5 linked regions of the Coturnix japonica genome follow. The protein of the gene in region 1 interacts with the protein of each later gene in a pairwise test. Links are inferred from orthologs where the notes say so. Each region holds a gene or a part of one and is shown in the gene's direction. Other genes may lie near its edges.

Region 1 (6,139 bases):
TTTTAATGTCAGCATATTCATTCCGACTTTATGCTGTTTTTATCAAGTACTGTAATACTTTTATACCAGCGGTGGATTATTCTGAGAATAGTTCATTTTTAAATGTCTGTTTGCTATTAAAATATGTATTAACTTTCTCTTTCGTGCTAATCTGAGGCAGCTCATGTCTTTTCTATAGGTGTTGGAGGGAGATGGCAGTAAACCCAATGGCTTCCTTCATGGTGGATGTGGGTGATGAGGGTGGTAGGAGGTGTCTTTGGTGTGCACTGCTGCTCTTGAACTATTTTGGTGGTTTCCAAGACGAGAAAATCAGCTTCAGAGTTCAGGAAGGCGCTGCATGGTTTTGCACAAGACAACTGCCAATTAAAAGTGTTATTTTTATCAGATAGCTTTTTGATATTCATGAAGGCTTTCAGAATTAGAAGCTGTAAAGAGTGGAGCTGAGTGCTGTACGTTGATGTGAAATGGTTGAGGTTTTTAATGCACAGATCTGAAGTTTTTTTGATAAAAGGTTATAATGAATTATGGTGCACTTGGGCCTTTTTTAAGTACTGAACTTGGACTTGAAAATTAGTAATAAACCCTGTTTGTATTCGGTCTTTGTAAACTGATGCTGGAATTAATTTGGTTAGTGTTACTGGTGGCTGTTGAGTATGATGCAAATCTCCCCCAGTTTCCTTGTATCACATACCAGAGCTGCATCTGAATCGGTACTCTTGAAAATGCTCAAGTCTTTGGTTTCTGTGATAGGACAAGGGGGAATGGTTTGAAACGGAGACAGGGCAGGTTTAGGTTGGATCTTAGGAGGAAGTTTTTCCCCCAGAGGGTGGTGATGCACTGGAACAGGTTGCCCAAGGAGGCTGTGGATGCCCCATCCCTGCAGGCATCCAAGGCCAGGCTGGATGTGGCTCTGGTGGCTGGTGACCCAGTGCAGGTAAGGTCTTGTGCTCACACCAAAATGCTGTTTTCATACACACATTTGAGTCCCAAATGCCAGCATCTCATGTGCAGGCGCTGTGTGTTCAGGACCAGATGCACTAAGATTGCTGTGAGTCACTCTAATCTTCCTTAGAGACAATGGTTCCATGCAGTCCTACGGCTTCTGATGCAAGAGTGTTTTTTCCCTTTAAGCACTTAAATAGAAGTGTTATTAACTCACACATCACCGAATCCCCCTCAGTGCTTTGATCTGATGGCGTTCTGCCTATCAAAACCTGAGAGACTCGGCCAAGCCTTTCTCATGTGTCTATTCCAGACATCTTATTCATCCTAAGGGCTCGTTTTCCTTTGGATTTATGCCTTTAAAAATAGATGGTTTGTGCCAGGTGAGGAGCCTGAGCTGTGGGGAGCCTTGTCAGCTACTGACACCAGAACGGCAGCCTCCATGGTTCAGACCTTTAATAACGCAGAACTGCTGAGGCTGCTTCGACTTTTATTGATTTTAACAGTGAAATCTGCAGTGGATCTTCAGCCCCTCAGCAGCTCTGCGCCTCAGGAGCAGAAGATGGCCCCGGCGGGGCTGAGGAGGCAGCAGAGACCCCCATCTCCGCCGTGCTGTGTTGGTATTGTAAATAATTAACGCTGCTGCCCCGTTTGGGTTTGTTGGGTTTTTTGTTTGGTTGGTTTTTCTTTTGTTAATTAATATTATTTTAAGGTTCACTGAAGGGCCACAGAGCGAGCCACGGCCTCCCGCCCGCACCCCGCCCTTTCACTCAGGCATCCCGCCACGCCCTTCGGCTCTTTCCGGAGCCACTCGGCACTTTCCGGAACACTTCGGCTCTGTCCGCATGCGCTCTCTGTCCCTTCTGCTGCTCTCGGGTGGGTGGGGCCCTCCCTTCCCCCGCCGATTTTTTCCGAACCCCTTCGGCACTTTCCGTCACTCGGGAGCCCGTTCTGCGGCGCTGACGTCATCTCCTGTCGCAGTATAAAAGGCGGCGCCGGCGGCGCGCGGTGTCCGTAGCGGAGGGGCGGCGGGCGCGGAGGAGGCGGACTGCGTGAGGAGCCGGTGAGGCGGCGGGCTGAGGCGGGCGGGCGGCTTCCTCCGCTTCACTTGGAGCGAGCAGAGCCCGCTCCAGCGCTGTGGGGACAGGGGTGCGCTCCCCTCAGCCGCGGGGAGGCCTCTGAGCGCTGTCCCTGTAGGGATCTCAGCGCGTGTCGTGCCCTGAGGGGGGAGAAGGGGGGATAAAGGATAAAGGGAGCAGGGAGCAGCGACATCCGACCGGGAGGGCTCGGCCGGCGGCTGGAATTCCATTCAGAGCCCCGGGGAGGGGAGGGGAGGGGACGGGCGGTGACAGGCGGCCCCGCCGGCAGCAATGGCTTCCACAGCGCCCGCCAAGGTCAGCGGCTGAGGGGAGCGAGGGGCGGCAGCTCAGTGCGGGCACTGCGGCACCACAGGGCCCGATCCTCGTCTGGCAGCCTCTTTGTGTTAAAAAAAGGGGAAAAAACAACAACCAGAAATACAGTTGTTGGTTTTTTTTCCCTTTTTTTCCCCCTCTGTTAGGGTTTCAGTGGTTGGTGCCTCGGTAGGTGAGATCTGTACACGAAGGGCTGAACGGAGCTGTGTGCGATCCACTGCAGCTCCCTGCTGGGTGTGGGGATGGATGGATGGATGGATGGATGGATGGATGATGGATGGATGGATGGATGGATGGATGGATGGATGGATGGATGGCGGTGTGTGTGCCCTGCCATCCGCACTGCACTGTGTGTGTGGGCTCTGAGCTGCAGTTGTCTGGAGATGGCAAATGAACGCATCAGGGAAGAGAAAAAACAACAACAAACCCCAACCTGCCTGAAATGCTTCTGTATCTATCTGGCAAAGAAAACATCGTATCTGTTTTCTTCTGGCATTGTGCTTGGAGCCAAGTGCCAGAAGATTCCAAAGGCTGGGTTCCATGGATGGCCTTGCTCACAGGCTCCATTCTTTAATATACATTTCTATTTCCAAAGCTATGGTTAAATTGCCATGTACGACTCATTCCCATTGCCTTGAAATGCACCTAACGATGGGTTGTGGTTGTTTGTGCTGAACTGGTTATAAATAATGAACAAAAGGTTGGAAATAGGGCGCGCTGTGCTGCATTGCGTGCAGGGTCTGAGTGCAGCAGTGCAAGTGCTGGCAGCAAAGGAGCAGGTTCCCTTGTTTGCATTGAGTCGTTTATTTCTGTCACTGCTTGGGGGTGGGAGAAACTCCATCTGAATGCACTGGGATGGAACTGCATCTATAAAATCACATCTAGGGGTGATGCTTCCTTGAGGTCCACGGCGAATGGAGTTGGACAGATGTATGTGTAATATCAAAGTAACATCATAACAAGGATATCAGAAGGTGAGGGCTATCTCTTTAAGCTGTCTTTTTAAGCCATCTTTGCATGTTTTTCTCCTGCACAGGAGGAGGAAGGCAGGAGGAGCCGTGCATCTCCTAAGGCAGGGTGGTACCTCGCTGTGAAATCCCTGTTTCTCAACTATTACACACGTAGCTCATCCCGGTAACTCAATGCAAATAGCTCAGTGTCGCTGTCGGCTTGTTTTTATCCACATCATGTATTTATGGCACGCAGTTGTGTGCTTCATAAATACATTGCTTTCTGATGTGAAATGGATCGCTCCCCTTGCGTTGGAAGAAATGACACCAATTCCTCCCTTTTCTCTCCTGCGTGTTCATGTAGTGTGGGAGTCTGTTTGTTCCATTTGGCCCTGGAGTGTAGGCAGCAGAAGAATGGGGTGGAGCAGACTGCAGATGCTGCTGGTGGGGATTGCCAAGCATAGCCCCGCGATATTGCTGATCAAACGGGTGGCAGGCTGCCTTCCCTGCTGACACCGATCCGTGCTCAGCTATGCAGATGCCATGGGAGATATGCAGTGGCTTCAGCGAGCACAAAGACAGCAAACTGCGCTTGTCTGTGGGCTGCTCCAGGGACTGCAGTGTGTACTCACAGGGAAAATAGAGCTGGGAGCAGCAGGGCAGCTTTCAGCTGGAAATGTATTGGATTAGATATACTTAACAACTACATAATGAGCCATCTCAAGAAGTATCTCCTGCTGCAACTGTTGGTTTTTTTCATTTTTCAACTGTGGCAATTGGAATGAAATATCTTTGGAGGTATTTGAGACCTCGTTGTATTTGTGCCTTGAAATTAAGCCCACCCCATTTGATTACTGTGTCACAAGGAGCGTCATTTGCCAAGTCCAGAGAACTTCCTTTAGTGTCTGTTTTGACCTTCAGATTATGGCAGGGCTTGGTTTGTCTCAGTTAACCGGAAAGGTTAGCACTGACCGCATTAACTCTTCCTGCTGGTGATGGTAACCTGTTTGCATGGGGGGTTCTGCTGCCTTGTGGAACACTGAACTGCTGTGTGTGGCACAGAACCAAGGGGGATGCGTGTGGTGTGTGCTGTGATGGGGTTTGTGTTTTAGGAGACAAGAACAAAGCCATGTCCTTGCACTCATAGTGAGCTGAATGTTATCTCGCTCTCCCCCTCCCTTTTAGACTCTGCATTCCTCCATCATGTTGTCATCGTTTCGTAAAGTCAAAGTCCAGGTATTGCTACGTAATGCATGTGCTGCTGTCGCCATACTTGCCTGCCTTTATTGCAGTGACCTGTCTGTAACAAAACCCCATTGGTTTGAGAGTTTGTATGACATAGCAAATGCTTTATTTGTACTTCTCTGTTCATTCTCATCTGGCTTTCCTTAATACTTTGAGTTTCCTAATTTCTACGATGCATGATGTGTGAACACCTCGTAGTTCAGTATAATTGGCTGTTGCTGTGGATTAATTTTCCAAGAGCTCCTTGTTTTAGAGGATTCTTGTGCGATGTCTCTTTAGCTGTCTGGAAATCAATGATGATGGATTTACATCACAGCACATTGTACGTTTAAAGTCAGTTCTGGTTCCTATTAGATCCACTCACACAGACGTACAGCCCACGCATTGCGCTCTCACTGTCCATCTGTGCTGTTTGCAGTTTGGAGATGGTAAAACGGGGGCCAAACTGACACAGCAGCCAGGTTCTATCTGGAAATGAGTCAGGTGAATGTCTGTGCTGGGATTAGCATTATAATGAAGAACTGACAGGAACGGAGCATGCTGGGGGTGTTATGTAACATCCCATTACCTGTCGCCCTGCGGTTCTGCAGTGCGGTTGGGGTGCTGTGCTGTGTTGGAGCAGTGCTGCACTGACACCAAAAGCAGAGCAACCCAGTTCTGCATCAAGGCACCAAATTCAGAGCAGCAGTTCAGCCCTGTTCTGCAGCTTCACCGGTTTGGCTGCAGAATGAGAAAGTTAACATGCCTATAAATGAGCAGGTCTTTAATTGCCATGCAGGTTTTGAAACGTGGTTGGCTGTGCACAAGCCCTCATCAGCCTGCATCAGTGTGTTTGCAGCCTGCCTTAGTTCAAACACAAAGCAGATCTTTTTTCTGTGTCCCTGCAATGCAAACTTAATGTGTCCCCAGAGTTAGGATGTTCCCTGTGCTGCAGTTGGTCTGTGTGATCCTACAGCCCTACATGGCAGTTCCAGCACATGTTGGGCTTCATGCTGCAGCACCTGGCTTGGCTGTGCAGTCCTTGGCTGACCCACGTTGGTAGCCAGGAGCACTGGGGTTCTGCTGCATTCTGCCTTTGGCACTTCTCTATTTTCTAGATTTAAATTAATAGCAAGCTAAATGACTGAGCATTAATTATCCCTCGTTTGCATTTAAGATCTGCAGCATGGTGTGTATGATGGACACCTTCTTACTTCTAGGTGCACCCACTGTGCCATAGCCCTGGCAGCAGCAGGCAGGGTGATTCCTTTCTATGAGTAAAGCCACGGGTGATTGGATCCCATGGAAGCAGTGATGGTGTCCCCATGGCTTGGGGCTGCATCGCCAAGTGAGACACAGCACAGAACCTTGCAGTGCTGCTGCTGGGGTCACCAGTGCTGGGTGCATGATCTCTATATAGTGATATCTGATTGCTTTCCAAGTACGGTGGTTTTCGTCTTTCAACTTTGTGTAGCTGTTTGGAAAAAGCTGCCAAAATCTGCTGTGCAGCGCTCAGTGTAGTTTGCATTGGAGTTTTTCAATCCCTGAAACCACATTTAGGTCAGGAAAACGCTGACCTCTGCCCTGCCAGCATTGCTGTCATTCCTGCTG
Region 2 (6,091 bases), on another chromosome or scaffold:
CCCTTTGTTTGCACACGTGCAGCTGTTCTTTTATGACAAATTGATCTCTGAGTGATGGGAGCTAGTACTGATATAAGCTGACATCATCTGAATCAGCAGCAGCACTGCACATTTGATGAAAGGAGGATGTGTGTCTATTTTTGGCTTGTGAGGCACAGCTGTCTATTATATTGTCTCATAAGTCAGGAAGGGCAGAGCCTGGAGTATGAGGTTACATCTCTCTTAACACGTCCTGTATTTCTTAATAAATGGACTGAAACACAAGAATATCAGTAAGCTCTTAGCTGTCAACTAAAGCGAGGCTTTTCTGTAGCAGTGTCTCTGAATGTCATAGAAACTTCTCAGCACACAAGGTGATGTTTTAATGTATGGTAGCACTATGCATAACTGAGAAGGCACCTTTGAAGTCTAGGATGGAGGGCACCTTGAAAAATGCTTAACATGAAATTAATACTGAAAAATGGTTGATATAGTGAATATGGTGATAGCCAAGGAGTGATTCAGGTTGGATAACAGGGAAAATGTCTTCTCCCAAGGAGTAGCGAGGCACTGGCACAGGCTGCCAGGGAGGTGGTGGAGTCACCATCCTTGAAGGTGTTCAAGAAACGTGGCACCAAGGGATGTCATCTAGTGGGCATGGTGGGGGTGGGCTGATGGTTGGACTGGAGGATCTTAGTGAAGTTGTGGTTTGACTTCAATGGATCACAGACTTGCAAAAGTAATAGCGATAGGACAAGGGGGAATGATTTTAATTAAAAGATTTAGATCAGATATCAGGGGAATTTTTTTCGCTGGGAGAGCAGTGAGGCCCTGGCACAGCTGTCTGCCTGGAGGTACCTGAGGCCAGGTTGGATGGGACCCTGGGCAGCATGAGTTGATGTGGGGCAAGAGGTTGGGGCTGGATGGGCTTTAAGGTTCCTTCCAACCCAAGCTGCTCTGTGACTCTATGAGAAGTAATGGAAGCACACACAGTGCAGACACTGGTGCCAAGTTGAAACTACATATAGACAATGAGCAGCGTGTTTCCTCGTTGTGTGCGTGCCGTGCTGAATTCAGAAACGATCTGCAGTCGGGGCTTCGGGTCCCAACCTCCATCTCCCCCTGCTAGTCCAAAGCCCGTACGCTGCAGGCTTGAGGCTGCCCCCGGCTCGCAGGAGGCCGGCCCGGAGGAGGGGCGGCGGGTGCCGTCGTGCGGGCCGCGCCCCGTGGCTCCGAGCCGCCGGGGGAGTGGCCGGGGCCGTCGCTTTCCGCCCCGCTCGACGCGACCGGGGGGAGCCGCTTCGTCCCGCCGGGGGGCGGGATGTGGCGGCCGCAGCCCCGTTCGGACGGCACCGACAGGCGGCGCCGCGGCAGCGGGAGGGAGGAGACCGGCCCAGGTGAGCGGGGCCGGGGGCTGAGGGGCGGCCCAGCGCCTGGGAGGGGGGCCGGGGGCCGGGAGCGCAGCGGGGCTGTAACGGTGCCCGGTCCGTCCCGCAGCGGCTCTCCCCGAGGCAGGAGGGGCTCCGAGTGGGATCCGAGCTTCGGGTGGGTAGGGCGGCTTTGGGACGCTCGGTGCGGGCGGAGGGGTTAGATACAAAGACTCGTTGCTTGCTTCTTAGTTTCAAACCCGCTTTGCTTGCTTAGTTTTCACTCCCCGGAGTTTTTGTCTTGGCGAGGGTTAGCACGGTGTTGCCTAGGAAACTTTGTTATAACTCTGAAATAACACTTTTTTTTTTTCCTTCCTCCTTGTTTTAACCCCAAAATTCCACCTCTGTTAGTGTGGAAGCAATTATATTACTACATAAATGTGTGTGATTTGTAGGTTTGTATGTATATACACAAACATATATAAGTGAGTGTGTATATGTATATACATCTACATAACCAACTGCTGTGAGGGAAGTAGACATGCTCTTAGAAGTCAGCAGTCTGGTATCTCCGAACTTGGTTTAAAAAGGAAGCTGCCATATTCGTGGGGAAAAAGCCACGTTTGTGTGTCAGTCCTTGCATAAATGAGCACTGAATGGTGTGGCTGGCAGAGCAGGTGAGCTGCTCTCCCCTCTATTGCTCAGCTGTCAGCCTGAGCAGGAGTCATTTCTGATAGTAGTACCGGTGAGGGGCTGGAGCTGTGGGTAACACCAGAAAATAGCTCGATCTTCTCAAAGGGATTCAGAAGGGAAGGCGTAGAATGCATCAGGCACATCAGCTGACTTTCTGGCTTTTTTGGATACACAGTACTGCAAAGCAAAACTTCCTGCAAACACTTGAGTTGTCCTTGCCAACATCTCAATGGAGAGCAGCTCATTGATGTTGGGTAATCCGTGCTAATCTGTGTGTACATGTGTTTGAGTAACTTTTTGCTGTGCTTCTGAACAGTGCTTTAAGAGCTCTTTAGTGAAGTGCCTTTATAATAAAAGCTTTTCTATGCATATAAGTGAGCATATACTGGCAAGCACTGCTGGCAATTGAAAATAGAGTTTTGAAAGAGATGCATAAACTACCTTGAGATGCATTATCTCTGTTCTTGTCTCTTCATATTTGTCCGTTTACTTGCTAATTTGCAATTGGCCTTTCAGTAACTTGTGAAAATGGAAGAAAAGTTCCTCTTTATTCACTTTTGTGTTGTGTAATTTCCAAGTCTAGGTAGTTATTTCATATCAGTGTTCCCCCATATTATTGCTGAAATCAAAGCTGTGGTTTCTTTTGGGAAGAGACTGATGGTGGTGTTACAGCCCGAGTTCCAGTCATCATTTCCTATCAATAGGATTTTTAGGCAGTTTTGAAACTAAGAAGAAAGGTGTTTAAATATGTGATTTAAAGAGACAACTAGCTGAGCTTAGAGGTCTGTGATCCTCTAAAAAGTGGGACTGGTGGATGTAAAGGAACCCACAGATGTTCTGTGCATTTGATATTGTCGGTGTCCATCTCTGTGTGTTTTTTCTTGCTTTGTGTTGCTGTTAAACTTACTCATTTTTTGTGTAGTTCCTTTAGATTGGCCAGTGAAAATAACCTACTGGCATACACTGTACTACTGAGTTACACAGCAGCACAACACTCTGAAGTGTGGTCATAGACAAGCACTGTATTGCCACTGGCTTCTTCCCTCTTTAACTTCACATAAATCAACCTTTGTTCCCTTCAGCAAAATGAAGTCAGAAAGTTTGGGCCTAAGACGCTGCCTCTGGAATTGTAGTGGAGTCGTGCAAGAAAAGAGGATTTATTAACACCAGTATGAATTAATTGTAATGAACAGAAGGACGGAAAAGCACCGCAAACAATGTTTTGTACTCACAAAAGCAGAGCACCCTGAAGGTTAATTCTGACTTTGTTCACAAATTAGGCACACTCGGGTAGGTTTTTCTTTTTGCTCACCGTAGCTCAGGCCTCCTGCAGCTCTCGAACCACCTGACCTCCCAGTTGGGATCTACTGGAGTGTGTGGTGCACCCTGAGTGCTCATCAGGAGTTAGGATTTTTCTTTTCATTTTGGCATTTGGTTTTCTTGAGCAAATGTTCATCCCAATTGAGTGGCGGGCAGTCTGCAGCCTTTCCTGCTTTTGGATGTTGTACATATTAACACCTCCTGTGACAACAGCTTTCCTTGCTTCCTTTGGAGTACCAGGCCCAAAGGTAAACAGGGAGGAACCTGTGGTGTTGCCATAGAGATTTCCGAGTTCATCCTTAGCTCTTTGCAGAGAGCAGCCCTTTCTTGCTGTGTCACCTGGATTAGGATTGAGCCTGGGGTATGCTGTAATACTACTCAGTGTTCTCGAAGGCAAACTGCTGCAAAACCCTTATGTGTGAGGGATGAATGTGTCCTTTGTAAATCAGCAGTCACACAGGAAAAACTTGGCTCTCTGGTACTGAACAAAGGCTGCTGTGCCTGTGTGAAGTTCTGTAGTATCCTTGTTTGGAGGTGCTTACTTAATTCAGTGTAACATTTAACAGTGTGCTTTGTGCTCTGTTTTGTCATATAGGCACAGGTTGTGTTAATTGCTCACCTGAAAAGTGCTGTCAGGGAGAGATGTTTCTTTACCAAGTCTCCCAGTCTCGGATGCTATGTAACAGGAGCTGAAATTAACTGCTGACATTCTTCGTTTGCTCAATGTGAGTGTGCCATATGAAAACTGAAGCAGCTACCAGTGTGGAGTTATTTCCCTGTTTATTGATGCTGCAAATGTAGGGTGGCTTAATGACTAATCTGAAGTCTACAGACAGAGCGGTGAGATCATGTGCTTTGCCTGAAGTACAGTTCCTTTGTTCAGCATGATTCCTTTGGGGCACACAGAATTTGGATCCTGTCTCCCCTTTGTGTGGTGTGCCACATCTGCGTGCTGTACGATACTGCAGTCTTTATCTCAGATCCTTTTTCACCCAACAGCTCCGCTTCCTCCCAACACATTCATCTCTTATCTCAGTATGATATATTACTAATAGGAATCCTGTTGTCTAATGAATCTAATTGGTGGCACTTTCTATTCTTTCCCACTCCCCCCTCCCTTTCCTACCTTTCTTGCTGTCTTACATATAAATTTATTTACCTGTGATGTCAAAGTAGTTTATTTGGTTACTTGGCTCTTTTTTTGCCTTCTCTCTGTGTTTATTTGTAGCAGCACCAACTACAAAAACATTTGGATTTTACATTAAAAAAGCAAATATTTACTACATAAGCAGTTATGTGATCAGGATTAGGGATGGAAAATGTGTTTTCTTGAAATTACTTATCTCCCTTCATTTCAAAGATATGTTACCTGCATTTATAGATGGTATCAAACAGTACACAAGTCAAAACTTGTGCAGATGAAACAGCAACTTGCTAAACAAGGCGTGTGTATATGCGAAGATGATAAAATCTTGTAAAAGAACTACATGGGAGAAGTGGCTGCTTCAACCTAAGAATAGAATAAATGTCATGTATGTGAAATTCTCTTCCACCTTTCCCTGCTATGTGCAATGGCAGAGGAATGGGATTTAGCGGGCTCTGGCTGAGAGGTTTCTTTGTTAGGGTCATCAGGGCAGGAAACCATTATGGAGGAAAATCTCTTAGTGGAGCAACTCTAAGGCAACCTGCGGAGTGAGGAGTCAAGAGGTTGATGGTGAGTATTGTAAAACTGAGTAAGAATGGAAGGGTTGGTATCCATGGACAAAACAGGAAATGGGAATTGGAATAATTAGATATCCTGAGTTGTTTGGCAGGTCTCTGTATTAGTACAAGATGAGGTGTGTGGCATTGGTGTAGCTTTTCAGAACATTGCTAAATTCTGTGTAGCAATGTTAATGGAGAAGTAGAGTCAAATGGTAGGGATGTTTTCAATGTGCCTGTGTATAATGAAGTTTGACAGTGGCTTCATGACCTCAGTGATTGATGGGGTGAGCAGGGTAGTCCCTAGCTCAGCTCATTTAGCTGGCCCCACTTCTGGATTTATTGTTAGTCATGCCTTTGGGTCTGAAAAGCATTTTGAGCATTCTTAGAGTCTTTTGTTTTAGTTTTGGAAGACTGTAAGGTCTCCAGAGAGCCTGGGAAGGGAAGGCCTGGTCGCTAGGCTGAGCTGCTTCCTGTTGCAGAGTGTATGTAGGACCCAGGGGATGTGGAGTAGTGGGCTGAACAGCTGCTTCAGAACTGGGGGTTGGCTCTTCCTGTTTGTAGAGCAGTGCATTGCTTTCTGTGTCTGCACTGATTCTTTGAGCTGTGATCTGCGGAGCTGAGCTGTGACTCCGTGAGCCCTGTTCCTCTCATAAAAGTGATAGGTATGCCAACCATAGGACAGTGGGACAGGGAGCTGCTCAGTTTGGTGCTGTTTTACACTGCTGTTCTGCCAGATCCCCTGCTTAGGAGAACAGTGAGTTTCTGTTTGCTTAGAGCAATGAAAATCCTGAGAAACCCCTTGTTGAAACTGTGAGAAAACTAGCTGCTGTTGCATGGAGTGCAGTACCAGCACAGCTGTTCCTCAGTGTGGCTTTGCTCCTTCATGTCAAACTTGTTAATAATCAGCACGTATTGCATTTCCTTTCCCTGGGAAATCTGAACGCGGTTGTGCTGAGACTGCTGTTGTAGTATTCACATGTTTGTGGTCTGCCTGAGTCGTGTATAGACTTGGCTGGGAGAAGAGCTGC
Region 3 (5,390 bases), on another chromosome or scaffold:
GCAAATCCCAGTGCTCAGCGCTGATGTTTGTTTTCTGTGTTTACTCATTCTGTTCTATCTGCTCTGTCTGTCCCTGCACAAAGTTGAAATGGTGTGATGGTAGCATGTGTTGTGTCAAAGACTTGTTCCATGGAAACAGCCCCTGTCAGGTGGGCACAGGAATTAATCACACTTCAGGAAGCGCTTAAAGTATTTGTGGGCTTGTCAGTGTGCTGTGCCAAAGCGGGTGGGAGGTTTTGGAGCGCTGCTTTACAGCTGGTTCAGGATGTCTCTGCCAATAGGGGAAGGTTTAACTGTCCAACTTCAGCAGAAATCCAAAATCAAAGACAGAAATGATCTGAAGAACCTCCAACTTGGAAAAGTTATTCCTCTGCAACTGCAGTGGGTGCATGAGAAAGGAGTGCAAAGCTTGATACAATAACTTCATATCATTGGGCCATGGAAAGCCCCAGGCACCAGACAGGGCATTCAGAAATACGTGGAGAAAGCCAAGAACCCTGAAGCAGGAATCCAGCAGCCCCATAAGTGAAAACAGCCATATGGTGTATGATGACCCAAGTTGTTACCCATGGAGATGGAGACTGAGGTTTGGTATTGGGCAGTGAAAGAGAGAATCGTCTTCCAGCTGGCCAGCCTACCTCATGTTCCTGCAGTACCAAGCACTGAGATGGCTGGATAAATCAAATGACTTGCATATAGTTATCTTTTACTGGAAAGCAATGCCCCTTGTTTTGCACTGTTACTTGTACCACAGTGCTGAAAGTCTGCAGGAAGAAAATTGTCAATGGCAACTGTCTGCACTTACTTATCCCTGTGCTACAGATGCCAGAATGTGCCCTGTCCAAAAATTAAAGGGTGCTTCAGTCTTCCTAGGGTGAAATGCAGTCTCCTGCTTTCCTAAAATCAGTGGGACACTGCTGTGTGAGTTTCCATTGGATATAGGAAAGACCATTTCTTCTCCTTGCAGAAGGGAACGGAAACATGGGCTATTTAAAGCAGCCATCAAGTTTGTGCCAACTCTCTTCTACAAAGTCATTCTACCTCAGAAGGAGTTGAGTGGGGGAAAATCCATTGGCAGCTTAATGCCTGAGTAATGCTCAGTGTTTGCTGCTTGTCTAACTTCTGCAGGGGGAGTGGGGCACTGTGCAGAAGCTCCCAGCAATGCCCAGTTTCCTTCCCAATCAGTTTGATGGCGTTTGTATCTGTCCTCAATCTCAACTTCATTTTGAAATTGTAGCAAAATGTGAAGGTTTTCCCGAGAAAGAGATGGGAGACCAAACACACACACAGAGGCAATGGGATCTCAGCCAGCCCTCAGCTTAGGCCCAGAAATGATGGCAAAGTTATTTGAAACTTCTTCTATGAATTATTTAGCATGATTCATTTCTGATGTTTTAGAATGGTTGTGACAGCAAGTCAGACAGCTTCTGCTTTTTTATGTTTACTTCATTGCCATCGGCAGAGTTCAGCTTGTGAACTAATACAATCCAGGCAGGCTGATAACACCCAAATGTATCAGGCCTTAAGGGCAGGTTTTGTTTGCTTCTGGGTCAAGATGAAGTGCCTTTGCTGTGCAGTGTTATCACAAAGCTCTGCTTGTGTCACACCTTTCCAAGGAAAGGATTATTGGGTTATTATTTGGTTTGCCTTGTGCTAACTTGTGTTTTACTATTATTTTAGCAGCCTGTTAAGTATTATTAAAGCCTAGATAGCCAAGACAGGGTGGTTGTACAAAAAATGGATTCAGGAAGATAGAAAACCAGACATCTATCTTGCAAATTGCCACTACTGTAATGAAGTATATTAGGTCACCCCAGTATGCGGTAGTTTAAAGCCATCGAGGACTACAACCCCAAAAAAAGCCTGAATTAGGTTTCAGAACAGTTTTACCCATGTTCTCTGCTCTGCTGAAGCCTGAGAGCATCCTCTCCTTGGGGGTGAGGCTGGGCAGGAGCAGCCTCCTTGAGGATGCAGCCCAGCAGCACATGGAAAGTCCAGCTCTCCCATACGAGTGCTGCTGGTCTGGCACTGGCTGCACCCGTGCCTTTGTGGGGGGATGGCTCAGCACGCATAGCAGGCATCTGATGGGCCGGTATTTTGTTCTCTTCTTCCCTTTATCAAGGATGAAGCCAGTGAGCAGCAGCAATGATGTGGCTATGGATGCCTTAGATTTTGATCGGATGAAACAGGTGAGTTGAAAGGTCTTTTCACACTTGGAGTTGACGAGCTACCCATTTTCCCCCATGCATGCGCTGTACAAGCAAAACAGCTGTTCAGTCTTCTGGTTTCCTCTACAGCTAGGTGCTTAGAGAAGGGATAGCTGGTGAGCAGCAAGAGAGCACGATCTCACTGCTAGTTGAGCAAGATGTCTGTACGAAACGTGCAAATAAATGCCCCAACCTCTGCTGCACCCTTGGCCTGAGAGTGCAGCCATAGCTGCAAGCAGCAATAGGCTCTGAGTAGCCGTGAAGGTGGGGAACCCACCACAGCCATGTTAAACTTGAGTTTTCTTCCACCAGTCAGAAGGAAATGCTGAGCAGCTGACTTGTGTTTTGTCTCATCAGGAAATATTGGAGGAAGTTGTAAGAGAGTTACACAAAGTGAAAGAGGAGATAATTGATGGTAAGAAAGAGGAAAATCATTATTTTTCTCACTTCTATGACTAATTTCCTGTAGATAAGACAATAGGCACTACAGGGAGTTCCCTGGTGTTTTCAGACTTGTCTGGGTCTGAAGAAAAACGTTCTGCCTTAACTGAGCTTTGGTCATAACACTATATTCACATCCTTTATTTTTATGCTGTTGACACACGTTTTCACCCCAACCTGTGAAAGATTCACTGGCCTGTGCCACTCACAGGGGGAGGTGGGAGAAAGGGCCGGCCCATAGCCCATGGCACATCAGTTTATCACAACCAAGGAGTGTGAAATTGCTTACAACTGGTCTGGCACAGGAGGGGACAAGTGTACCAAACTGGAAACCCTTCCTGAGCCTCCTCTGGAGGATGCTTGTGCTCAAAAAACTATTTCAAGTTAACTCAATCTGAATAGCCTCGTATTTTTCTAACTCGGTGAAATGAAAGATTTCAGCAGGTTTTTTTTTTATAAATTGCTTTGTATTTTCTGACAAAATATGTTTTTCAAGGCCAACATAAGACAGCATAATGCTGCTATTACTGACATGTGCAGCAAAGTACCTATTTATTTGACACCTGCCTTAGGGTGTGCAAAGATCCACGTCCACACCCTGCATTTCCCAACTTAGCTTCATACGAAAGGGGAAAAAGAGGAGACTGTCAAACAGCTAAAAGCCATGCCCGCTGCCCTTCCCCCAGCACCACGTGCTCATAACAGCTGGGCAATTGGCAGCTGAGGACACCCTTGCCCGTTCGCTATGTTCCCAGCAGCTTGGCCCTCAGAGACTCCCCAGTTCATTCCAGTGCAAAATAAGACATTCACATGAATCGCAGATGCCACTTAAACCACTACTGCAGTTTGCAAGCAAACAGCTGACTGCTCACCCTTACTCATCCCTTTACCCTCCACTCATCCCTTTACCGGCGTGTACTTCCTGCAAGCTCTGTACTTAGCGTTTTCTATGTGCGGGGTAGAATGTTCTGCGCTAACTTTTTGGTTTGGTTTTCTAGCCATACGGCAGGAGTTGAGTAGGATCAGTACAACATGATTGCAAAGCATTTGGACGGTACTTAAGAATGCTAGGAAGATTGAATCATTTCCGAGTGTACCCAAGGTCACGCAAGATGGTGAGAGAGGACACCGGCACTGTCTTTGTTCTTATACCCTTTTTATTAGCAGACTCAGCACACTTTGAAGCTTGCTGCTGCCTTGGATTTGCTTCATTTTAAAAGTCTTAATCTAAAGAATATTAAATTTTAAATTTCTGGATTTTTTAGATTTCATCTGACACTGCACATTGGATTTGTCAGCCTTTTTTGTATTTTGTATTTGCTTATTTAAATGTATTATCTTTCTTTTTAGTAGTAGATAAGAACACACGTGAACCATTTGCTTTTGATAGATGACTTCAAAGTAATTTTATTAGTAGTCTGCAATGTAAATGAAGATCCTTTGCCAACAGAAACGTATTGTGGCATCACCAGAAGGAAAGAGACATGTTAGTTGTCAGCCAACAAGTTCTTTGTCTCAGAGTTATCACAATATTAAAAAAAAAAAAAAAAAAGAAAAAGAAAAATGGTACGTCTGCATCACAGTATCTGTGTTCATATTGGTAATAAACTGTTTATTGTCCACATGGCCCTGCCTTTGTTTATATGGTCGGCCCCTTCAGCTTCTCCACCTTAATGTCACCTGGGTATGGTTCCTCACTGGCTTGGGGAGGGCACTGATGAAGTCTCACCTGGAGAGTGCTGAGCTGAGGGGAGAATGGTGGCTTATGGTGGCCTCGGGCCACCACTAACTGTCCTGTCTGTCTCCTCAGTACAAACAAAATCCACCCATCCCACCACTTGTGCCTTATGGGCTTTTGGGAGGAGAGCGAGTCACTCAGAACAAAGCTGCTGAATGGCCACAGCAAAGCAGAAATCCCACGTGCAGTGCTGCTGAACCAGAGGCTTGAACTAGAGCCTTATGGGAGTCACTTGTTAATATTTCATGTTTCCATCTGTTAACTCTGTGCAGGCTTTGGTGAGCTTTATTGTGTGGAAACTGAGGTCTCAGAAATGAGTACAGGATGCTGCATCAGCGCCGCTGAGCACTTCATCACACACTCCCTCTTACCTGTTGGGTCACATGTTCTTTTCTTTGCTACCATTCTTTCCACCAGTTCAATCTTGAGAATTTCTGCTCGACTTGGTTTGGTGGGATTTACAAGGCAGCAGCCATCATACAATCTCCTTGGCAGCTTTATGGAAAAGGCACAAAGTGATGGGAGTTCAGCTGTGGAAATCAGCGTTTCCAGAGCCCTCCTTCTTGCTTTGGGCCTTCCTGATGGCATCATGTTGTAAACCAGGTCCTGGGGGGCTGTTGCAGAGCCCTGTGGACCATGGTCATTCTCTCAGCGCTCAGGCAGGGACCTGGAGACTGCTGTGGGGCCCTGCTGGAGCAGGGCTTGGGCCAGGGCTCCATTCTTGCCCAATTCCATGATCCTGCATGACTGCCTTCAAGCAGCAGGATGCCCAGGAGGGCAGGGGTGTGGCGGGCTTGCTGGTTACTTATAAACTTTTATCTACTTTGGCTGGGAGAGTCTGAGGTTGTCCTTCAGCAATCTTCAAAGCCACCCCATCTGTCCTCTAGAAAACAGTCCCCCCTACCTCTCCCCACCCCCCCAGTTACACTGTAAACTAAATACTAGATAAAAGAGGGAAATTTAAACTTAATTGAAGGGCAATCTCCAGTCCAAGCCTGACATCT
Region 4 (5,123 bases), on another chromosome or scaffold:
TGCTGACAGTACAACAGTTATTTAAGGAAGAACTGGCATGTTTCTTTTGCCATGGTCTTATTTCCCAATATGTTCAGAGTAAGCATGCCTTTTCATAATATTATGTAGGAAGGCAATGGGGAGTAATTGTATATAGTGTGTATACTGGAGATCTTATACCAGAACCATGCCAACCATTGTATTTACTTGGAGTGGGGTGGGGGAAGCTTATGATTTTAGTGCTTTCATCAGACATGCCTTGTCAGTTGTATGTAGAATTTAAGACAAACTTTCAACTGCGTGTGTGTATATATATTTTTTATTTATACATATATATCTATACACTCCTTGTTCTTACAGAATGAAACAGAGGAAATGGATGGAGGAAATTTATCTCGTTCCTACATTTCTGGTGTTCCACAGCCAGTATCATCTGAGTATGTGCTGATGCTGTTTATTCTTTTTTAAGCCTACGCGTGAATTTCTTTGGATTATAAAATTCTATAACAAATTGCACCCTTTTAGTGAAAATGAATGGTAAACTCTAAATCTGTAAGCAGTCACTTTAATACATCAGCAAATATTAAAAGAAATCTTGTTCATGGAATGAATGTTTCTGTCTTTAGTAGAATAAATAAATACATAACTGCAAATTGAAACTAGACTCCATAATATATGAAATACGCTTAGTAAAATTCTGAATTTAAGTGTGTGGCCGTTTCCATACAGAAAATTTTGTGTTGGAATATTTCATACCCGTGACTGTTGATTTTTACAGTGAGACAGCTTTCAGAAAATCATGAGACATGCTGGTTGCATTTATTGCTACAGGCAATAAATTTATCCAAAAAACATGTATCAAAGAACACTTGAAATAATCCAGTAAACTGTCAGCGTAATATTTTTCTTATGTATTTTTCCTAGGAAGGACATGATCCGACAAATGATGACAAAAATATTTCGTTGTATTGAACCTGAACTGAACAATCTTATAGCACTGGGGGACAAGATTGATAGCTTTAATTCCCTTTATATGTTAGTTAAGATGAGCCATCACGTCTGGACTGCACAAAATGTGGACCCAGCTTCCTTTCTCAGCACAACACTCGGAAATGTTTTGGTGACTGTCAAAAGGAACTTTGATAAATGCATTGTAAGTTCTTTAGTTTTTCTGTTTAAGATAACTCTATTACTTTAGGAAGCCTGCACCTATTCAATTTGATTTTAGGATTTTAAGACTTTTTGTTTTAATTTGAAGCAAAAATGAGTGTCTGCACTACAGTTACATTGGACAAACTTTTTTTATTAAAAAATATTTATTAAAAAATAGTAATTGGCAGTTGTTTCCCTCTTCCCTTTCCATCCCAGTTTACCTGAAGGATGAGCTATCCATAGGACGTACAACCTCTTGTCCTCAACATTTCAGTTATGTGAGCTGGCTGACTTTTGTAATTGTTTTAAACTTTTACTGAAGTCAATCAAGTAAAATCAATAGTGCTCTGACTTTTTTTTTTTTTTTTTTTTTACATTCCAAAACAATCCAAAACAACCTCACAGACTTAAGGGAAAATCAGAATCTTTGTAATATACTGAATAGACATTTATTCCTTGCATTCAGGTATTTTTATCATTAAACAAAACGCAGATTTTTGTGAAACATTAAGACTTCTCTCCTACTACCAACATATTTGCCAGTTTCTGCCACGGAGAAAGTTTGCTATTCTTAATAAGGCAGCCTTAGTACAAATACTTGTTTGTGTGACTGTTGCTTTTGCTATTATTGTTGTAAGTGTCATTTGACTCCAGGCCACTTTGGTAACACTGATCATTCATTGTCAGAGGAATGCTTGAGATACTTGGAAGTTATTATTTTTTAGCTTATTCTTAAAAACAAAATTTCAACAGGAGATTAAAGAAGCTTTCTGTGGCCAAATGAATCATTTGCTGGGTTGATGCTGAAAAGTGAAGTTGTGGAATGGAAGTCTTAAATATAATTTGTTAATTGCTTCTGGTGAATAAGTTGTGGATTCATTGTTTGTGGTATTTTTTTTTCTTAATGCTAAATAAGCAAGCAGAGGAAGATAAAAACTTGAAGATTATAAACTTCAGTCTTGAAGATTTTACTTGCCTTTCTTTCTTCACAGTTTTTACTGTTAACAAATTTGTGAAGATACAATAATTAAAAGATAAAATGATCTCCCTGATTAGACGCATGTTACTTTTTCAGTATGTTTACTTTTTTTCTATTACTAGTTATGGTTATTACTAGTTATGGTCTGGAACTGTATTGTAGAGAATAACTTCTGTGTTTCAATTCAAGAGCAATCAAATGAAGCAGATGGATGAAGTAAAAATCTCAAAGAAAAGTAAAGTCGGGATCCTTCCATTTGTTGCTGAATTTGAAGAGTTTGCAGCCCTTGCTGAATCAATTTTCAAAAATGCAGAACGACGAGGAGATCTGGACAAAGCATATATAAAACTTATTAGAGCTGTTTTTATCAGCGGTAGGTCTTCCCATTTCGTAATACTTATTAATTCCTCCTGTGTAGGTGTATTCTGCTCTGTTTAATTGATAATGTTTTTTTTTTTAAGACTCTATATTGTAAACCACATGACCAACATTGCACTGATGTTAAAAAAAAAACAACCTAATTTATAGAAGCAAGTTGAAACATTTTGATAAAATGAAATATTTAAAAGCAAACTGTAGATATTTCCCTTAACACATATATACAAAGTAACTTTCGGTTATGACAGGGGAAGTGGTTAAGGATACAGGAAGGAGGGGGGAGAGAACTGCAACACTACAGGCCAAAGTCTCAAGTGGTTTTCTGGCTTTTCTGCACCAGTCTGGCTTAAATGAGGAGATGAGACAGGATGGAATCCCTGTCATTTCATTCTAATGCTGTACAGCTTCTCAGTGCTGTGTTGTCTCATTCAGTTCTAATGTAGCCTTGTGTTCTGGCTATGAATTTGACCATATCATAGCAGATGAGGTCCTCCTGACATAGTAGAATGCCTCTCCCATCCCTTCCTGTTTTTCCAGCTCTGATCTGGAAAACCAGAACAGTCTTGTTCTCCTTGTTATTAACAAAAAAGAAATAGATGAAGGTGAAGTAAAAGAAGTGAAATGCCAGAAAAATGGTCATAACCTTTTAAACAACAGAGAGGCCTCTCCATGTTGATTTATGTACATCCTTTGAAACAGCTCGACCTGTAGTACTTCCCAATCACTGAGACTTGCCTTTTTCCCTGAGGGAGGTTGAGGAAGAGGGAAGAGTTCTGGCAATAAAGCTTGTTTGAGGAAACTAGCACAGGAGTTCTGAACATTAGGAGGTTGTGAAGATGCATCATTTCACAATATAGTGGACTACAGTTCATAAAGAGTCAGTAGAAGTTAGTAGGGCAGTGAATTTTAACAACATTGATTGCGTCCAACTATTCAGTACTTTAGAATTGATTGTTCAAGTGATGAAACCAGGCAGACGCTAACAGTCAAACCATACATTGATAGAAGTACTACTGTAGGAAGAATTCAGGAAAGTACGTTTTAAAAGAAATTTAAAAGGATTTCAGTTGAACTTAGAAAAAAAAATAATTGACTAGTACAGCATGAGCTTCAACAAGTAATTATGATGGGGATTGGTGCTTCAGTGATCTAACTGAAATGAATTGATGATATTGACTCGTACCTTGGTGCCCAGGAGTATGCTTCATAAATATTTTTCATGGTGGTTTTCCTACTTCATAGTCTCAATGAAATGATGGATGAGCGGGCATAGAGGTTTAATTGCATTCTTAGATTAATTCTGCATTAATCTGCATTCTAACCATCGTCTCCTTGGCCTGCATGCATGCAGATGCAGTAGGGGGTCAATAAGTAGAATTTCTTACACCTGCTCTGTTTTACTTGGGAGGGTTAAAAGTAAAAGCCTGCATGTATCTGATGCTTCTTTTGAAAGCCCTCGAATATTTATTTAGTGACTGTTATGATTATCGTTCATACACATGGTTATCACTGTGATAGAATCCCTTACTTTTTTCTTTTCATCAGTTATGTTTTCTTCCGAATTTGGTTGCCCTTTAGGAGTTCTAAATATTTTGTTTCCCTTATCTTTTAGTTGAAAAAGTAGCTAATGAAAGCCAGAAAACACCCAGAGATGTGGTGATGATGGAGAATTTCCATCATATTTTTGCAACACTTTCTCGGTTGAAAATTTCTTGTCTTGAAGCTGAGAAAAAAGAAGCCAAACTGAAATACACCGAACATCTTCAGTCTTATGTAGTCTACTCACTTGGACAGCCTCTTGAAAAATTAAATGTAAGTATACTTCATTCTAGCTATATACTACCCTACATAATTTTAAAGTACATATACAACTTTCTCTTATGGTTAGTTCGCACTTCTTGTTACCACTTTTAACTTTCTGTGGGTTGACCTCTTTCTGAACAACAGCCACCCTTGAGGACAAACAGCGTCTCTTCCTCTAGCTGCACTTTTTATTGCTGAGTATTACATTGTATGCTAAAGAGTACACTTAGGAGCTTCTCAGCTGTCCAGCTGTGTCCCCTCCCAGCTTCTTGCCCATCTCCAGACTACTATGGAGGAGGCAAGAGGAGGACAGGACATGTGTGGAAAGTCTTGCTGTGCCAAAATGCTGTGGTGTTATCAGTGCTGTTTGAGCTACAAGTCCAAAGCACAGCACCATGTAGGCTGCTATGAAGAAAATTAATTCTGTCTTGTCCAGAGCCAATGCAATGCTTCAAGTGATGTTACAGTTCTACATGCACATTCATAAGCATATTTCTTTCAGTTTTTATTATGTTGATCTACATGGTGAGGAATCTTGAGAAAATAGGGCAATAATGAACTAAATATAATAAAATAATAATAATAATACTGCTCTTGTATTGTTATGATTTAAGTAGAAAACTTCCAATTCAAATGCTTTGCCAGTTTATCTGAAAGATCCGATGTTAACTCAAGCTATGGTCACATTAACTTAGGAGTCTGAGACTGGTTCAGTATTAGATACAAGTGTATCTGAAAGCTTGACTGCTTCTATTGATGATTAATTTCTTTTTACCTTATTACTTACCGAGTACTGCATTAGTGTGCTGTTCTTTAATGTTTATGGCTGAGC
Region 5 (5,529 bases), on another chromosome or scaffold:
GTGGATCTGTCTTCCTGCTTTTCAGACCTGTGACAGGCAGTCCCACTGAGTTCTTTCAGATTGCTCACATTAAATAGGTCTGCGTGATGATGTCTTTGGAAGCTAAATGAATGAGTGCGCGCAGTTACTTGCATGGTGTTCCCTGTGCTGGTGCAGGAATAATGGTTGAAAGCGTGCTTTTTTTACTTGAATTGAGGCTGGGAAATGGCATGTGCACATGGTGTTCTTTTTCTGAGCTGTTGTTTGCCTCTGGGTTTCTTCAGGTGATTCTCGTTCAGCTGGAGACCTTGAAGTTGGAGAACCGTCACCTCTCAGAGATGCTGGAAAAGGTGGAGCTGGGTGTGCTGGAGGTCCACGTGGGGGGGTGGGTCTAGGGAGGGAGAAGATGGGGAGGAGCAAGCTGTTGACAGTGAGAGTGGTTACTTCTCAGCAGCAGCTAAACCACTGGGGTATGTGTTCCCCCACACCCCTAAGAAGTACCCAGTACAGCTTGCTGTTGTGCTGTCTGGGTTGCTGCTCAGGCTGAGGCAGTTTGTTGGGGTGTCACCCAAGTGTTCCCAGCTTAGGAAGTACTACCAGCCTAGAGCTACATCTGAGCAACTCTTGGTCCATATTTGCATGGCTGTTTTTAAAAGCATCAGCCAGCGACGCTAGTGATTCCCTTTCCTAGGCAGATGAACATGTTGTCTCAGTGCAGACACAATGAGGCATTTGTAATTGATTTGCTCTCATGAAAGCTGTGAAAATTTTGCCAGTCAAAAGTGGGATTGTAGAATATGTTTTAAGGGATTACTTGCCAGACTTTGCTCTGGATTTGTCTAATGGTATCTTGCAAAACCTGTGTTCAATATCAGCCCTTCTGTGTTAGGGAAAAGATGCCACCCTGAGAGCACTCAGTGAAGATTATGTTGTGGAATTAAACAAATTAAAATCAGAGAACCAGCAGCTGAAGAAGGATCTATCAGAGGCCAGGGAGAAACTGAAGCTCACGACCCAGGTCTGCCAGAGTCAACCTGAGGGCACCGCTCAGCAGCTGCAAAGCCAAGAGCCTGAGCCCAGGGATGTGCAGTACAGGTGAGTGTTGCATAACCCAAGGATGCTGTTTCCTTACCATGAAGGAGAACAGAAGGAATGAAGATGTGTGGGATTTTAATGACGTGCTTTATGAACAGCATCTTTCTCCAGCATGTGATATATAGGTGAGAACAAAAAGGACTGTTTAGGAATCTGCCTTTATGCTTGAAGTAGGGCGGTAGTTTTTAGTCCCAGCTGATTTGCATTCTGCAAAGCCAGCTATTATTTGACCGCCTCTGTTCTAGATAGAGAAGCAGTATGTGCTGCTTTCAGTTCAAGGATTAGGCTTGGCACAGTTGGCCGAGCTCTTCTCCATTCTAGCATGTGTTCATATGGTAGCTTTTGGTATCTACAGTAGCAGGAGAGTGAGGGAATTCCCTGATGACTGGATGTGCATCAGGGGGTTCTGTGGAAATGAGAGAGAGCCCTGACAGTCCAAACTGCCTATCAGTAAACTGCCTGCTAAGTGTTATTTCTGCACACGTTCTTGCTGAAATTCAGCTGTTAAGAGGCAAACTGTCAGACAGGTAAGTTTCCACACCTGTCTTGCAGGACAACTCAAGAATCACAGCATAAACAGGATGAGCAGACTGAGAAAATGCATCACAAGCCTGACAAGACTACTCAGCATCATCAGAGACGGAGGAACCAGCCTTTGCCTGCTGAAGTGGGAGCTGTTATCCCTGGGGCTGCTGAGCTACCCACACAGACCAACAGGAGGAACTGTGCAGAGTCACCCACCCTTGCTGCAGGTGACATCCTTGTGCTGGATGATGGCAAAGATTTTCCAGATGGAGCATCCAAACAGTCGGATCATGAACAAGAATCTGTACCTTTGGTAAGTGGTTCTATAGAAGCGTTTTACCATTCAGCTACTGGTAATGCAACTGAGTTCTCATATGGCAAAAGGAAGCAGATCTTTGAATCTGTGATCTGCCTGTGTGGTGTGTGCATATGTCAAGCCTAAAACAGTGAAAACAGTGCTGGATGGTTATGACTTGGACAAGGGGGAGTCATGTAATTATTGAGCAGAGCTCTCTAGGGTGAGGTTCTGTTTGTTACTGAGCAAGTTCCAGAAGCTCGTGGTTCTCCCTGTACCAGTGCTGTACATCAGTGTGCACCACAGCCTGCTCTGCTGCTTCAGAGTTCTGCTTGAGCTTTTGGTTTGGGACCACGTTACAGTGAATTTGGCCCCTCTGAACGGGACTGCAGTAGTCAGCATGTTGCGCTTTGCACCATTTATGTTAGCTGATAAGAGAGCCTGGAAGAAGCGCTTCATTACACAAGCAGAGGTTGTTATATTCCCAGTCAGTGATCTTTCTCATAGGAAGCAATGTTTGCACCTTCTCCATCCTCTTAATGTAGCCCAGCTGCTGAAGCATTTTCCCACCATAAAGGAAATCTGAGCTCAATCACTTCTTGCCTGAGGTATTTAAGACCGTATATCTCAATGCCTGCTGTGATTACTGGCCTGCAGACTGACTGAACAGGGAAGAGGTGGAAGGTAGCAGTGGGACATCAAGACTGATTGTATGCTGGACTATGTCAAAGCGGGGCTGTAGTATGGGAAGGCCTTGAAGCCTGAGTACTGCTCCTTGCTCCAGATGTGTGGTCACTGGCAGTCTGTAGAGATTTCTTCCCCCCTGGTTGTGTACTGTAAGTCGTGACAACAGCAATTTGTAATTTATGGGGAACTCAGAGTAGAGTTTGTGGGGCCCAGGTATGGGTAAGAGGAGGTTTGTCAAGTCTGTAGGTCTTTTTGAGACCAAAAATAGGTCTTAATTGTTTCAAGGCTGAAATTGCTTTGTGGGCATGCCCAGAAAATGAATGTTAGGAGCTGAGGGAATTGTAAATTCTGAATGGAAGCTCTTTAGATTGCAGGATAAGGGCTAAAATGCAAACAGTTCCACGTCAGACATTGAGGAGCACTAGGGGTTGATACTTAGTAGAAGGGAATGCGCTGTCTTTTGCTTAGTGTGGTCTGAGAGGGAGAAAGGCCAGAAAGCCATGAGTCTCCAGGGCTGGGGAATAACCAGTTACACTGTCTTGCCAGGGCACCGAGGCAAGTTTTCTGTAATGGGAAGCAGCCCTGTTGTAATTCACCTTCCTGACCCAGTGCAGGAAGTTTCTCTTCAACCCTTCATTTAAGCTTAGCTTACAGTGTTATTGCTGTGTAAGTTCAGAACTCGCGGGTAAGTGATATGACTAGCAGGAACAATCATTGACTGTGAAGGAAAGAATCTGGAATAGTTCATTGCTGGCTGAATGGACGTGGCAGTTCGGTGAGCTGCCATGGGAGTTTGGCTGTGCTTCCCTTTGGGACTGCAGCAGAAAGCCATTAATACAGAACAAAAGGAAGCATAGAGGGACTCCTGGTGCTCACCCAGTTTGGCAGCCCGGTTCTCTTCTCTGGAAACCCTGTTGTGAGATGGTAATGCACATGGGGATTTTTATGAAGACAAGGAGCAAAATGCAGACTGCAGTGAGTCAGGGCTGGTACTGGCAGAGCAATTGGGGGATTGCAGTGCCCTGCTCTGGAATCGTACTGTGACAGCATAAACCCTCTCGTTATCTTCAGTGGAGGGGTTGGTAAGAGAAGTGAAAGTCCAGTTTCTGAAGGTAAGCAGCCAATTCCGAATGATGCTCCTGGGGCCAGGGTTGCAGAAATGCGGGGGGGGCTGTTTAATTAGAGGGCTATTTAGTTAGGTGTCTCACTGGTTGGCAGTGTTTCTGATTGAAAGCTGAAATAACAAGATACCCACTGCCCCTTTCTCTCTTCAGTGCCCCCTGCCTACATCTTCAGTTGGCTCAGTAGCTGCCCGATACCTGGAAGAGGAAGAACTGAGATCCCAGCACATCTTGGAGTGCCTGGATGCTCACATAGAGGAACTGAAAAAAGAGAGTGAAAAGATAGTCAGACACTTTGGACACCAGGCGTGACGTTTCCTCAAGTGCACTCAGGTGGAGCACTGCTTTCCTTGCATGGTTTCAAACTGCAGCAGAGGGAGGTACCTGCAAAGCAATTGCTGTTGGAGCTTGAGGAGCTGAGTCAGCAGGCTGGATGCTGGGAAGAACATGTGCAGGAATGCCCTGCATCAGCTCAGACTGGAACTGTGCCCCCACCACATGTTGGGCAGCTTCCAAGGGCTAGAAGGCTGTGGGAGAGAGACGGGTCTGTGTGCCCACCTGCAAAGACTTTGTGGTGTTTTTAGAAGAGAAGCATTTGCTAAAATCAATGTGAAGTATTTTAAGTGTATTTTATATGTGTAAAATAAAGCAAAGTGGAAAAATGTGCCTTTTCTTCTTCCTGCAGATTTACATAGTAGAGGTTTTGGCTCATCTTGCATTCTTGTTGGGATCTTTGATGAACAATTCAGACAATGTTTCCATCCTTTCCCTCTAGTCACGTTCTTCAAGAGGCAAGAAATAGGATTCCTCTTCCTTTGGGCCACCCGCATTTTTCCCAGTTATTTTTCTCTTGTTGAAATTTCTTCTTATTTCCTGGTTCATCTTCTGCTCTTTGCTGATAATATCTGTGTAATATCTGGCTTCTTTATCTTGCTTGTGTGCTGCTTCAAGGACTGCGAGGTAACTGAAAAGTGAATAGCTGTATTCTGATTGTGGCCACAGCTCCTACAAAAGAAAGAACAGTAGGTGGAAGTGACAATGAAATTGGATGTGGGGGGGAATGCACAAGCAAGATCCATCTGTCCAGCAGAGGTAATTGCAGCTGCCATGGGCTGCTATCAGCCTGTTTCAATCCAGGCCGTGCCTTGGATACTGTCCAGTCAGGTTGAATTGCAGCACTGGAATACATCTGAGATCTGTTCCTTTACTCCTTGCTCAACAAAATGAGTGAGAGAGCTTGTTTGCTGTGGAGTTGCCTTTCTTCCTGAACCTCCTCCCATAGCTGAGCCTTCACAACCTCTGCACGGACAAACCTAGGCACAGAAGCATCCCTTGCCCTCACTTTCCAGTTCCTTTCCATTGGGTTTGGCAGATGTTTTCAGCAAGGTGATGCCTGTGGGCAGGCTGCAGCCTTCCTGCTATGCCAGAATTGGGCCAGTGCCTTGCTGGGCAGTTCTGCATTCCACGGTTGGAAAGGTGGAGGACTTCTGAATCAACATGTCCTTTTATTCTGCCTTTCTTTTGCAGTTCTTTGAACAAAGATGAAATCTTCAGCTCCATCCTGGGTTCTCTCTGTGCCATTTATGCTATGAGTCATTCACCTGCCCACATGGTCGTGTGTTTTACAAACAGCTTTGGTCTGGGTTTGTGCTCTGAGCTGCCCACAGGTTGGCGTTCCTGGAACATTCACATCTCAGGTAAGGACTTGTTGGTCATGGGGAGTTTGGACAAAAGCCGGGGTGAGCTGTAGGTTGGTCTAAAGATGACAGTTGGCTGCAGGGGAGCTGCTGGCTTAGGGCCTGTCCCAGCTCCCATGCTTCCATGTGT

The links.
Region 2: the proteins of SPTAN1 (region 1) and DISC1 interact in binary tests that used the Homo sapiens proteins (3 or more experiments, as listed by UniProt). The link is inferred for Coturnix japonica from reciprocal best matches to the Homo sapiens genes SPTAN1 and DISC1.
Region 3: the proteins of SPTAN1 (region 1) and EVL interact in binary tests that used the Homo sapiens proteins (3 or more experiments, as listed by UniProt). The link is inferred for Coturnix japonica from reciprocal best matches to the Homo sapiens genes SPTAN1 and EVL.
Region 4: the proteins of SPTAN1 (region 1) and EXOC1 interact in a two-hybrid assay, tested with the Homo sapiens proteins (2 studies listed by BioGRID and IntAct). The link is inferred for Coturnix japonica from reciprocal best matches to the Homo sapiens genes SPTAN1 and EXOC1.
Region 5: the proteins of SPTAN1 (region 1) and CEP63 interact in a two-hybrid assay, tested with the Homo sapiens proteins (2 studies listed by BioGRID and IntAct). The link is inferred for Coturnix japonica from reciprocal best matches to the Homo sapiens genes SPTAN1 and CEP63.

What each region holds. Positions count from the first base shown.
Region 1 is NC_029532.1:3,863,392-3,869,530, forward strand, and holds the start of SPTAN1 (spectrin alpha chain, non-erythrocytic 1), read left to right. Parts: upstream 1-1,932; 5' UTR 1,933-2,005; intron 2,006-3,409; exon of another isoform or gene 3,410-3,488; intron 3,489-4,489; 5' UTR 4,490-4,507; coding exon 4,508-4,540; intron 4,541-6,139. UniProt on the Homo sapiens protein: Fodrin, which seems to be involved in secretion, interacts with calmodulin in a calcium-dependent manner and is thus candidate for the calcium-dependent movement of the cytoskeleton at the membrane.
Region 2 is NC_029518.1:35,650,738-35,656,828, reverse strand, and holds the start of DISC1 (disrupted in schizophrenia 1 protein), read left to right. Parts: upstream 1-1,223; 5' UTR 1,224-1,300; coding exon 1,301-1,376; intron 1,377-1,407; exon of another isoform or gene 1,408-1,524; intron 1,525-2,190; exon of another isoform or gene 2,191-2,268; coding exon of another isoform or gene 2,269-2,293; intron 2,294-4,982; exon of another isoform or gene 4,983-5,073; intron 5,074-6,086; exon of another isoform or gene 6,087-6,091. UniProt on the Homo sapiens protein: Involved in the regulation of multiple aspects of embryonic and adult neurogenesis. Required for neural progenitor proliferation in the ventrical/subventrical zone during embryonic brain development and in the adult dentate gyrus of the hippocampus.
Region 3 is NC_029520.1:44,082,074-44,087,463, forward strand, and holds the end of EVL (ena/VASP-like protein), read left to right. Parts: intron 1-2,122; coding exon 2,123-2,189; intron 2,190-2,564; coding exon 2,565-2,622; intron 2,623-3,646; coding exon 3,647-3,684; 3' UTR 3,685-4,274; downstream 4,275-5,390. UniProt on the Homo sapiens protein: Ena/VASP proteins are actin-associated proteins involved in a range of processes dependent on cytoskeleton remodeling and cell polarity such as axon guidance and lamellipodial and filopodial dynamics in migrating cells.
Region 4 is NC_029519.1:58,586,788-58,591,910, reverse strand, and holds part of EXOC1 (exocyst complex component 1), read left to right. Parts: intron 1-339; coding exon 340-416; intron 417-903; coding exon 904-1,132; intron 1,133-2,299; coding exon 2,300-2,483; intron 2,484-4,100; coding exon 4,101-4,300; intron 4,301-5,123.
Region 5 is NC_029524.1:2,656,921-2,662,449, forward strand, and holds the end of CEP63 (centrosomal protein of 63 kDa), read left to right. Parts: intron 1-263; coding exon 264-329; intron 330-868; coding exon 869-1,074; intron 1,075-1,626; coding exon 1,627-1,912; intron 1,913-3,855; coding exon 3,856-4,014; 3' UTR 4,015-4,366; downstream 4,367-5,529. UniProt on the Homo sapiens protein: Required for normal spindle assembly.